3 linked regions of the Saccharomyces cerevisiae S288C genome follow. The gene in region 1 interacts genetically with each later gene. Each region holds a gene or a part of one and is shown in the gene's direction. Other genes may lie near its edges.

The links. A genetic interaction does not mean that the proteins touch.
Region 2: of SSN3 (region 1) and SKN7, a mutation in one rescues a mutant of the other (synthetic rescue), as found in Saccharomyces cerevisiae (2 studies listed by BioGRID, with this or other methods).
Region 3: mutations in SSN3 (region 1) and SSN8 together harm fitness less than expected from each alone (positive genetic interaction), as found in Saccharomyces cerevisiae (2 studies listed by BioGRID).

Annotation. Positions count from the first base shown.
Region 1 is NC_001148.4:472,109-476,621, reverse strand, and holds SSN3 (cyclin-dependent serine/threonine protein kinase SSN3), read left to right. Parts: upstream 1-1,914; coding exon 1,915-3,582; downstream 3,583-4,513. Other genes in the region: isoleucine--tRNA ligase ISM1, read left to right, coding at 1-629; MRX11 (Mrx11p), read left to right, coding at 881-1,504. UniProt on the Saccharomyces cerevisiae protein: Component of the SRB8-11 complex. The SRB8-11 complex is a regulatory module of the Mediator complex which is itself involved in regulation of basal and activated RNA polymerase II-dependent transcription.
Region 2 is NC_001140.6:510,993-515,100, forward strand, and holds SKN7 (kinase-regulated stress-responsive transcription factor SKN7), read left to right. Parts: upstream 1-1,739; coding exon 1,740-3,608; downstream 3,609-4,108. Other genes in the region: serine/threonine protein kinase SCH9, read left to right, coding at 1-845; SET5 (S-adenosylmethionine-dependent methyltransferase), read right to left, coding at 3,913-4,108. UniProt on the Saccharomyces cerevisiae protein: Transcription factor that is part of a SLN1-YPD1-SKN7 two-component regulatory system, which controls gene expression in response to changes in the osmolarity of the extracellular environment.
Region 3 is NC_001146.8:583,820-587,067, reverse strand, and holds SSN8 (cyclin-dependent protein serine/threonine kinase regulator SSN8), read left to right. Parts: upstream 1-1,776; coding exon 1,777-2,748; downstream 2,749-3,248. Other genes in the region: KSH1 (Ksh1p), read left to right, coding at 248-466. UniProt on the Saccharomyces cerevisiae protein: Component of the SRB8-11 complex. The SRB8-11 complex is a regulatory module of the Mediator complex which is itself involved in regulation of basal and activated RNA polymerase II-dependent transcription.

The DNA of each region.
Region 1 (4,513 bases):
ACGAGCTATCGGCGTTTTATTTTGATATCTCAAAGGATATTTTATATTCCAACCAAATATCGTCATTGGCAAGAAGGCAGGTCCAAACAACGCTTGTCCATATACTAAATGCATATAGGGCAATTCTTGCACCAATATTACCCGTTATGGTCCAAGAAGTATGGAAGTATATACCAGAAGGATGGTTACAAGGACAAGAACATATAGACATTAATCCGATGCGTGGAAAATGGCCGTTTTTGGACTCAAATACGGAAATCGTCACCTCCTTTGAAAACTTTGAACTAAAAATTCTAAAACAGTTCCAGGAGGAATTCAAGAGGTTAAGTCTAGAAGAAGGTGTCACCAAAACAACACATAGTCACGTTACCATTTTCACCAAGCATCACCTCCCATTCAGTTCTGACGAGCTTTGCGACATATTGCAATCATCTGCTGTTGATATATTGCAAATGGACGATAATAATAACAGTCTACCAACTATTGAATTGGGAAGCGGAATAAACGTTCAAATATTGGTTGAACGAAGCAAAAGGCACAACTGTCCCAGATGTTGGAAGGCCAACTCAGCCGAAGAGGATAAATTGTGTGACAGATGTAAAGAAGCTGTGGATCATCTCATGTCTTGAATGACATGTACCTTTCCTGTATATAAAGAATGCCAATTATTGGCTCTTAGAAAATAAAAACCCTCTTGTACTTATTAGTGGGTACCTAACAGGTCCCCTACTGACATTTTGATGCAGGGCCTCGGCCTATTGTTCTTACCAGCTCTCAGCGCGTTATACGAACAGGAAGCAAAGAAGAGAAATGTAAAAATATTGCTTTTGAGAGACCGTGTAAGGATAAGTGTTACACCCAAGGCACCCTCACCAGGAACATGACTGTCATGAATCTTTTCTTCAGGCCCTGTCAACTGCAGATGGGCTCTGGACCGTTGGAGCTCATGCTTAAAAGGCCAACGCAATTGACCACGTTTATGAACACCAGGCCCGGCGGATCAACCCAAATTAGATTCATATCGGGAAATTTAGATCCAGTGAAAAGAAGGGAGGATAGACTACGTAAAATATTTTCCAAGTCACGACTTTTAACAAGGTTAAACAAGAATCCTAAATTTTCACACTATTTCGACCGCCTCAGTGAGGCCGGCACGGTTCCAACACTTACATCATTCTTCATCTTGCATGAGGTAACTGCCATACTACCACTGTTTCTACTATGGTGGTTACTTTATAACCTCGATCTTTCTGATGATTTTAAGCTCCCAAACTTCTTAAATGGCCTAATGGATAGCTGTCATACAGCTATGGAGAAATTTGTTGGTAAGAGATATCAGGAATGCCTCAACAAAAACAAGTTGATTTTATCTGGCACAGTAGCCTACGTTACAGTAAAATTACTATATCCGGTACGCATTTTCATTAGTATCTGGGGAGCACCATATTTTGGGAAATGGTTGCTTCTTCCCTTTCAAAAATTAAAGCACCTTATTAAGAAATAAAGCTTTTTTTTCCTTTTTTTTTTCTGGCCCAGAGACGGATTATTGTTTTCAGTTGAAGTTGCGCACTCGGCATATGATTTATAGATTCCCAATATATTGTACTTCGTTATATATGTGTTACGAATATTTTTGATTTCGTTTTAGAGAGTTTTGATTAGAGGAAATTATAGCTTTTTTTAACAGTGAAATAAATATCATACATCAAAAGTCTTCAAGAATTACGTGGTGTGGCTTAAGTTGCGTTTCATTTTCCCGCTTCAATACTTGAAAGTTATCCCACAATCACTGCTGACAAAAAGGATACAAGAAAGGTTTATAGGAAAGAAAAAAGGCGGAAGGGTATACTGAAGTTAGTAATTTTGCTTCCCAATTGAATTAAGGCCGCCTAGTTTTGACGGGAGGAGAGAGAAATGTATAATGGCAAGGATAGAGCACAAAACTCCTATCAGCCAATGTACCAAAGGCCTATGCAGGTACAAGGACAACAGCAAGCTCAATCGTTCGTTGGAAAGAAAAACACAATCGGAAGTGTGCATGGAAAAGCCCCGATGCTAATGGCCAATAATGATGTTTTTACTATTGGACCTTATAGGGCAAGAAAAGATAGAATGCGGGTATCTGTCTTAGAAAAGTACGAAGTTATTGGCTACATTGCTGCGGGCACATATGGTAAAGTTTACAAAGCGAAAAGACAAATCAACTCCGGTACCAATTCCGCTAATGGTTCTAGTCTGAATGGTACCAATGCGAAAATTCCGCAGTTTGACAGCACGCAACCAAAATCAAGCTCTTCAATGGACATGCAGGCAAATACAAACGCATTAAGAAGAAACTTGTTAAAGGATGAAGGAGTGACCCCCGGAAGAATACGAACTACGAGGGAAGATGTATCCCCGCACTATAATTCCCAAAAACAAACCCTCATTAAAAAACCGCTGACGGTATTTTATGCCATTAAAAAGTTCAAGACAGAGAAGGATGGCGTCGAACAATTGCATTATACGGGAATATCTCAGAGTGCCTGTAGAGAAATGGCATTATGTCGAGAATTGCACAACAAGCATTTAACCACATTAGTGGAAATTTTTTTGGAAAGGAAATGTGTCCATATGGTATACGAATATGCGGAGCATGATCTGCTACAAATTATCCACTTCCATTCCCATCCCGAAAAAAGGATGATACCACCAAGAATGGTTCGGTCTATTATGTGGCAGCTTTTAGACGGCGTATCGTATCTTCATCAAAATTGGGTGCTTCATCGAGATTTGAAACCCGCAAATATAATGGTGACCATAGATGGATGTGTTAAAATTGGTGATTTAGGTTTGGCCAGAAAATTTCATAATATGCTGCAAACCCTCTATACTGGGGATAAAGTGGTTGTCACTATATGGTACCGTGCACCTGAGTTGCTATTGGGAGCACGGCACTATACCCCTGCGGTTGATTTATGGTCCGTTGGCTGCATTTTTGCAGAACTGATAGGATTACAGCCCATATTTAAAGGTGAAGAAGCTAAACTAGACTCTAAAAAGACTGTTCCATTTCAAGTGAATCAACTACAGAGAATTTTGGAAGTTCTTGGCACTCCCGATCAAAAAATTTGGCCTTATTTGGAGAAGTATCCAGAATATGATCAAATTACGAAGTTTCCAAAGTATAGGGATAACCTTGCTACATGGTATCATTCCGCGGGAGGAAGGGACAAGCATGCTTTAAGCTTACTTTACCACTTGTTAAATTATGATCCAATTAAAAGAATAGATGCATTTAATGCGTTGGAACATAAGTACTTCACAGAAAGTGATATTCCTGTTAGTGAAAATGTATTTGAAGGTCTAACTTACAAATACCCGGCAAGAAGAATTCACACGAACGATAATGACATCATGAATCTTGGATCAAGAACGAAAAACAATACACAAGCTTCAGGAATCACCGCAGGTGCCGCTGCAAATGCGTTAGGTGGGCTTGGTGTTAACCGTAGAATTCTGGCCGCGGCAGCAGCAGCCGCTGCTGCGGTGTCAGGAAACAATGCATCAGATGAGCCATCTCGAAAGAAAAACAGAAGATAGGCTTCTATTTTTATATATATTTGGAATTTTTCATTCCACAGCACTGTCACTATTATATTCATTAAACTTTTTTTTATCTTTATAGTATTTAAATCGGCATACAGTTTCAATTTTTCGCTTTAGAGGCACTAAGAATGCAAGTCTGCAACATTCAGGTAAAATAATGGGTTGATTTTAGGTCGAGCTAAAACCCTGTTCTCCGCAGATGTATGCGAATTTCGTCATAATTCATCTCAACTAATGGGGCTTTAAAACATATGAATATCTCATGCATTCCCAAAAAAGAAGAAAGAAAAGACTTCAAGTACCCCCCTTAATTTTTATATAATGGTAGTAGTAGGTTTGTTCGTAACTTATCGGCAATAGTAATATGTTCCCATTATAACACATCTGTTAATGGTATTCAGGTTAATAACCATAGCAAAAAATATAAACAACTTTGTACATTTTCCATAAAAAAGAATGACTTTACGAAAACATTGGATGAAACAACCAGTTCATCCCGTTCAAAGTCTAAACTACGTATAAAGTAGAGTTATCATCGGTTAACAAAGTACATTGTGTAGTATGTAGAAGGGCTGAAACCATCAAGAAAAGGAGGGACACGCTCATACAAAGGAGAAGTCATGAATTCTAAATGTATCTAATAAGATACGTGAATTCAGCATCACCTAGTTATTAATGACCAGCCGAACCTAAAAGTCATTGCACAAACAATGTAGAAACATAGCTAATTTTACATACTTTTATTTGCGGTCTACTTATAACCATTATGTATATCATGGGAAATAAATAATTCTCGTCTTGCCTATTACTTCAAACGGAACGTCTAGGAGCGATACTGGTAATAAGGTTTCAGTATGATTTACTGAGATGCTGGACAGTATATGTAGAGAGTTTCTCGCGCTTCTCGTAAAACAGTACTAAAATA
Region 2 (4,108 bases), on another chromosome or scaffold:
TTCTACTCGATGCCAACGGTAACATCGCTCTTTGCGATTTTGGTCTTTCTAAAGCTGACTTGAAGGATAGAACAAACACATTTTGCGGCACCACGGAATACCTGGCACCAGAATTGTTACTGGACGAAACCGGCTACACCAAAATGGTCGATTTCTGGTCTCTAGGTGTTTTGATATTTGAAATGTGTTGTGGTTGGTCCCCTTTCTTTGCGGAAAATAATCAAAAAATGTACCAAAAAATTGCCTTTGGTAAAGTCAAATTCCCCAGAGACGTACTGTCACAAGAGGGGAGGTCTTTTGTAAAGGGTTTACTAAACAGAAACCCCAAACATAGACTCGGTGCCATTGATGATGGAAGAGAACTACGAGCTCATCCATTTTTCGCAGATATCGACTGGGAGGCCTTGAAGCAGAAAAAAATTCCACCACCTTTCAAACCTCACCTAGTCTCGGAGACGGATACCTCGAATTTTGACCCAGAGTTCACAACAGCTTCAACTTCATACATGAACAAGCACCAGCCGATGATGACTGCTACCCCGCTATCTCCAGCCATGCAAGCAAAGTTTGCTGGTTTCACCTTTGTTGATGAGTCCGCCATCGATGAACACGTTAATAACAACAGAAAATTCCTACAAAACTCGTACTTTATGGAACCTGGTTCCTTTATCCCGGGAAATCCAAACTTACCTCCAGACGAAGATGTCATCGATGATGACGGGGACGAGGACATCAATGATGGATTCAACCAAGAGAAAAATATGAACAACAGCCATTCGCAGATGGACTTCGACGGCGACCAACACATGGATGACGAATTTGTCAGTGGAAGATTCGAAATATGATTTCTCAATCGCTCCTCTTGCCCTTCCTCTTCTTTTCCTTTTCTTTTTATTTTTTTCTAATTTTTCTATCTTTTATTTCTACTTCTATTATTAATTTGTATCTTCTAATCGTTTTTCCCACTTTATCGAAACATTTCTTCTATTTATATATGTAAAGTATGTATGTATTTTCGTTTTATTTAAACTCCAAAAAATGAATAATTGTTCCTGCAAATTTCTAGTTTATCACGTCTCATAATCACTGCTTATACCTCACCATTCCATTGTACTTTGACATATTTACCCCTCATCTATATATAATCAGGGCTTAAGTAAACGCTTCGCTGTGATTTCCCAAAGTCGGTTCGGAAATTATAGGTCGGTTATATCATCCGAAAAAAAAAAAAAAAAAGTTTTTCTTAAATGCATAGGTTTAAAGTCGATTAAAAGTAGGGCTAACACAAGTATAAGCAGGGTTTTGCTATAATAGGGATGCCATAAGTGAGGGCAGGGCTCATCGATGCGCGTACATGGATTTTCCGAAATTCTGAATTTTTTCTTTCTTTAACTATGAGCAAAATGTGGTCAGCTTTACTGAGCTTAACTGTCATCCCATCGAATGTGACAAGATTGAAAGTGCTTCCAGGATCTGAAACATTTGTCAAAGTTTTACTAACATTACACAGATATCCCTGGTCACCTTACTATCTTCCAACATCTTACCTAGGCTTGCTGCTTTTGTTTGGGTCATATATTTAACTCGCTCATTAGAGGACATTCTGTTTTTTCCAAGACCAACAAAAAAGCAACGAAATTGCTGTATTATTAAAGGACTGTTATAGAAGTTTTTTTATCCTCTCTTTGTTTCCATTATTCTTATTCCTATTTTTTCGTTGCTTACTTTTGATATCCACTATGAGCTTTTCCACCATAAATAGCAACGTCAATAAAACCACCGGCGATAGCAATAATAACACCACCGAGAACAGTTCGACTGCAGACCTTTTAGGAATGGACTTGTTGCAGAGCGGGCCTCGACTGATGAACACGATGCAGCCAAACAACTCTTCTGACATGCTGCACATTAACAACAAGACTAATAACGTTCAACAACCAGCTGGAAACACAAATATCAGCAGTGCTAATGCGGGAGCAAAGGCTCCAGCAAATGAGTTCGTAAGAAAACTGTTCAGGATACTGGAAAACAATGAATATCCTGACATTGTAACTTGGACTGAGAACGGCAAAAGTTTCGTCGTTTTGGACACAGGAAAGTTCACTACGCATATATTGCCTAATCACTTCAAACATTCAAATTTTGCATCTTTTGTAAGGCAACTAAACAAGTATGACTTTCACAAGGTTAAGAGAAGTCCCGAGGAAAGACAGAGATGTAAATATGGCGAACAAAGTTGGGAGTTTCAGCATCCAGAATTTAGAGTCCATTACGGAAAAGGTCTCGATAACATCAAAAGGAAAATTCCGGCGCAAAGGAAAGTGCTTTTGGATGAATCTCAAAAGGCTCTTTTGCATTTCAATAGTGAAGGCACTAACCCCAACAATCCTTCTGGGTCTCTTTTGAATGAATCCACCACAGAGCTGTTGTTAAGCAATACCGTAAGTAAAGATGCATTTGGAAATCTAAGAAGGCGAGTAGACAAACTACAAAAGGAGTTGGATATGTCCAAAATGGAGAGTTATGCTACTAAAGTAGAACTACAAAAGTTGAACTCGAAATACAATACGGTTATCGAAAGTTTGATAACATTCAAGACCATAAATGAAAATTTACTCAACAACTTCAACACTCTGTGTTCCACTTTGGCAAATAATGGTATTGAAGTGCCAATATTTGGCGACAATGGAAACCGTAACCCAACTGGTAATACCAACCCAGCAACAACAACAGCTATCCAAAGCAACAACAACACCAACAATGCTTCTCCGGCAACATCTACAGTTTCCTTACAACTACCTAATTTACCCGATCAGAATAGCCTAACACCAAATGCTCAAAATAACACAGTCACGCTACGAAAAGGTTTCCATGTACTGTTGGTGGAAGATGACGCAGTGTCTATACAGTTGTGTTCAAAATTTTTACGGAAATATGGCTGTACTGTCCAAGTTGTCAGCGACGGTCTTTCAGCTATCTCAACACTAGAGAAGTATAGGTATGATTTGGTTTTAATGGACATTGTTATGCCAAACCTAGATGGTGCCACAGCGACATCCATTGTCAGAAGTTTTGATAATGAGACTCCCATCATTGCCATGACAGGTAACATTATGAATCAAGACTTGATCACATACTTACAACATGGAATGAATGATATCTTGGCCAAACCATTCACGAGGGATGATTTACACTCAATTTTAATACGTTATCTAAAGGACCGTATTCCTTTATGCGAACAGCAATTACCACCTCGCAACTCTTCGCCACAAACTCATTCCAACACCAATACTGCTAATTCGAATCCTAATACGATTAATGAACAGTCGTTAGCCATGTTACCACAAGATAATCCGTCAACTACTACCCCTGTTACCCCAGGTGCCTCTATATCTTCTGCACAGCATGTTCAACAAGGTCAACAAGAACAGCAGCATCAAATTTTCCATGCTCAGCAGCAGCAGCAGCATCACAACGCCATTGCTAATGCTAGGTCAGACGTAGCCATACCGAATTTGGAACATGAAATCAACACTGTACCACATTCCTCAATGGGTTCCACTCCGCAATTACCACAATCTACACTTCAAGAAAACCAGCTATCATAAAATTTTACAAATAGCCTTGCGTCTAAGTTAGCAGAGGACATTCTGTATTCCTGAGGAGTTTCTTTATATTTATTATGTGATCTTGGAGGATTATCATTTTCTTTTCGTTCAATATTTTATCCCCTTCAGTTATTTCCAGTTATCTACATCAAAATGTTTGAATTTTATTTCTTTCTGCCGCTCTCAAATTCACTCTCATTTCTTTTTTCTTTGTTTTTCTTATATTTACTATATATATATATATATATATATATATATAGCCAAAAACAATAACAGACACAGTAATTTAGTATGCGTTTATCTCTTATCTTTCATCCACTGCGACCGAAACGTTTGAATCGAATCTGACTGAGGTTTTTCTTACATTCCCTTGTGTATCAACAGTTTCTGGTATGTCTAATTCAAATTCTTTTCCATTCTTCAGTATTTCTTTTAAATCTGGCTGGGCCTCTCTCATGGAAGATTTACGATTACCAGTTGATTTCTTAGAGCCATCTTCA
Region 3 (3,248 bases), on another chromosome or scaffold:
ATTATATTTAGTAATGAACTTTTCGATAGACATTTGTAATTCATGAAAAAACGATATAACATTCATTTTTGTAGTGTGGTGTACGCATGGTGGGACTGCTCTTCTTGAGCGAAATTTTGATCTTCAATAGAGTGAGCAACGACAACTCAAGGATAAAGACAGAACAGCGGTAAACATCGTTTGCAAAATAACTAGAGAGCCGGATCGATTTACTTTGCAAAGTTGCGTCCTTTTTCCACGACAGAATATGTCTGCATTATTTAATTTTCGTTCTCTTCTGCAAGTGATATTGTTACTGATTTGTTCATGTTCTTATGTTCATGGGCAGTGGCCGTCTCTCCTAGATCGTTACAAAAATCATGAGGTTTTGGGGGCCTTCTGGAAAATGGCACGTGTTGGTGAAAGGGCCAGTCCATATGTTAGTTTAGCATGTATTTTGATGGCCATCAGTCAATTTAACAGCTGATTGGAAGATACTTAGTCATATGGATTTAAAGTTACGCAAATCAAGGTCATAGAAGGTGCAGTACCTTTTAAAACAAAGAGTATAAGTGGATTCAGACGAAGTGTCTCTTTAATTCTATCGTCTGATAGCGTACAAGTAAGGGTGCTATGAGCTAGCACGCACAGCAAAAATATAAACACTTTTGTATTTTTTTTTATTTTATAGTGTTTTGTGTTGAGTATTCATCTATTCGACCTCTATAGAGATTTAAGAAGGGAATTCATTGTCACAATAAGGACGCATAGTTGTTCATTTTAGACATCATTTACAGCACTTCCGTAAACTACCCCATATTGCGATTGAATACTACCGAAAAGGCTCAAGAATTTACGTGGTGCCCAATCAATTATATAGAATGAGGAACAATGGTAAGTAATGAATAATCATGGTCAGTAATAAAAAAGCAATCTCGTCCATGTTTCTTTTTGAAACTCAGAGCTTGACTCTGTTGCATTGGTATTTCATCATTTGATGAATTATTCACTATTCCATCTTCTTCTTACACAAGTTTACCAATAAATAACTCATCTGAGTTATTCAGACTTTTTATTAGATCAGTTCGGCATATTTAACTATGCAAAAGTTTTACACTGCTAAAAAGTAGTGTAAACAACAAACTGTTAAAAAAATAAAAAGGGGTGAATCCATGGACCAAGAATAGTAAGCTCCATTGGGTTACTCGATCCAGCACGGGAAAGAGCAATCGTCATAACTATGGTTTAGATTCCATACAAACGGAATCCAGTACCGAAGAAAACACCAGTACCCTGCAATAGAGGTACCAGGTCAAGAAGCAGAATACCCAAGGGCATCCTCCTTAATGAGTTGATTTAAACAATTTAAAATTTTTAAATCTCATTACGTTTTCCGCATACGAATTGGTGGGAGACTTTCAACCCAAAGCATATTACTGAGTAAAAAAAATTTTACTCCATTTTGTAAGCTTCGATTTGTGACGATTCTTTGGTCATGGATTGAAGAACTTTAAACGAGAAGAAATTAGAAAACAGGTGAAGACCACTATTTAGTTCTTTACCGCAACATAGGATAAACAAAGTTATTTTCTTACTCCTTTATATATTTGAAAAAATATAAAATCCACGGAAAAACATCGAAAATTCATTTTTCATGAAGGAAAATTAGGGTTCATACAGGAGTAGAGTTCATTGATGTGGTAGCAACCTTGTTAGCACTCATATTGTTCGAACAAAAAATGCCCTCTCAAACTTTAGTTGAAGAGCGATAAGGCATCTGAATCTCAAAAGTTAGACATGTCGGGGAGCTTCTGGACATCTACACAAAGGCATCATTGGCAATATACCAAGGCATCATTGGCTAAAGAGAGGCAGAAGTTATGGCTATTGGAGTGCCAGCTGTTTCCTCAAGGTTTGAATATTGTAATGGATTCGAAGCAAAACGGCATCGAACAATCCATCACAAAGAATATACCAATAACTCACCGAGACTTACACTATGATAAAGATTATAATCTAAGGATCTACTGCTATTTCCTGATAATGAAGCTTGGAAGGAGACTAAATATAAGACAGTATGCACTGGCTACAGCACATATTTATCTATCAAGGTTTTTAATAAAGGCTTCAGTTAGAGAAATAAACCTATATATGCTGGTTACTACGTGTGTATATTTAGCATGCAAAGTTGAAGAATGCCCGCAATATATCAGAACTTTGGTAAGTGAAGCCCGTACCTTATGGCCCGAATTTATTCCTCCTGACCCTACTAAAGTTACTGAGTTTGAGTTCTACTTACTAGAAGAATTGGAAAGTTACTTAATTGTCCACCACCCTTATCAATCCTTAAAGCAAATTGTTCAAGTCTTAAAGCAACCGCCATTTCAAATAACACTATCGTCAGATGATCTACAAAACTGTTGGTCCTTAATCAACGACAGTTATATAAATGATGTTCATTTGCTTTACCCTCCTCATATTATCGCTGTTGCATGTTTATTCATTACGATTTCCATTCATGGGAAACCAACCAAAGGATCATCGTTAGCATCTGCGGCTTCTGAAGCCATCAGAGATCCTAAAAATTCTAGTTCTCCTGTTCAAATAGCTTTTAATCGTTTTATGGCAGAATCTCTTGTAGATCTTGAGGAGGTTATGGATACGATTCAAGAGCAAATTACATTATACGATCATTGGGACAAGTACCACGAACAATGGATAAAGTTTCTGCTACATACTTTGTATCTTAGACCAGCATCTGCAATTTAATCATGCGAAGAATAAATTTAAAAACCGTTAAGCCTGTAAATTCAATCATTATGGTGGTGATGATCCGTTTTGGAAATGTTTCGTCCTTGACTACCTTTGTTTAACATGATATTGGAACGTCAAGACATATTGAGAATAGGTACCGTTATAATGCATAATTAAAAATTGCTTTGATATTGAGGTGGAAAGCTGGGTCGGACCTTGACATGTATTAAATTTAAAGAATCGAACCTAGTGTTTTTTTCTCCAGTGTTCAAAAAATCCTTTCAATTTGGTCTACTGCAGTAGCCCACTTATAACACACATTCAAGATGGGTGAACCGTGGCTCAAACTTCCCCATTTTTCAGAGTATGTGCAACCACAAAACCTTTGTCAGAAATTCTTATGGCAGGCCAAATTGATAAACTAACAGAAATATTAAACGCCCCCCAAGTTAAAATACTAGAACATGTTGGCTTATTTCAAAAACATTTTCTTCCTTTTCTAAAGTGTTTGATAA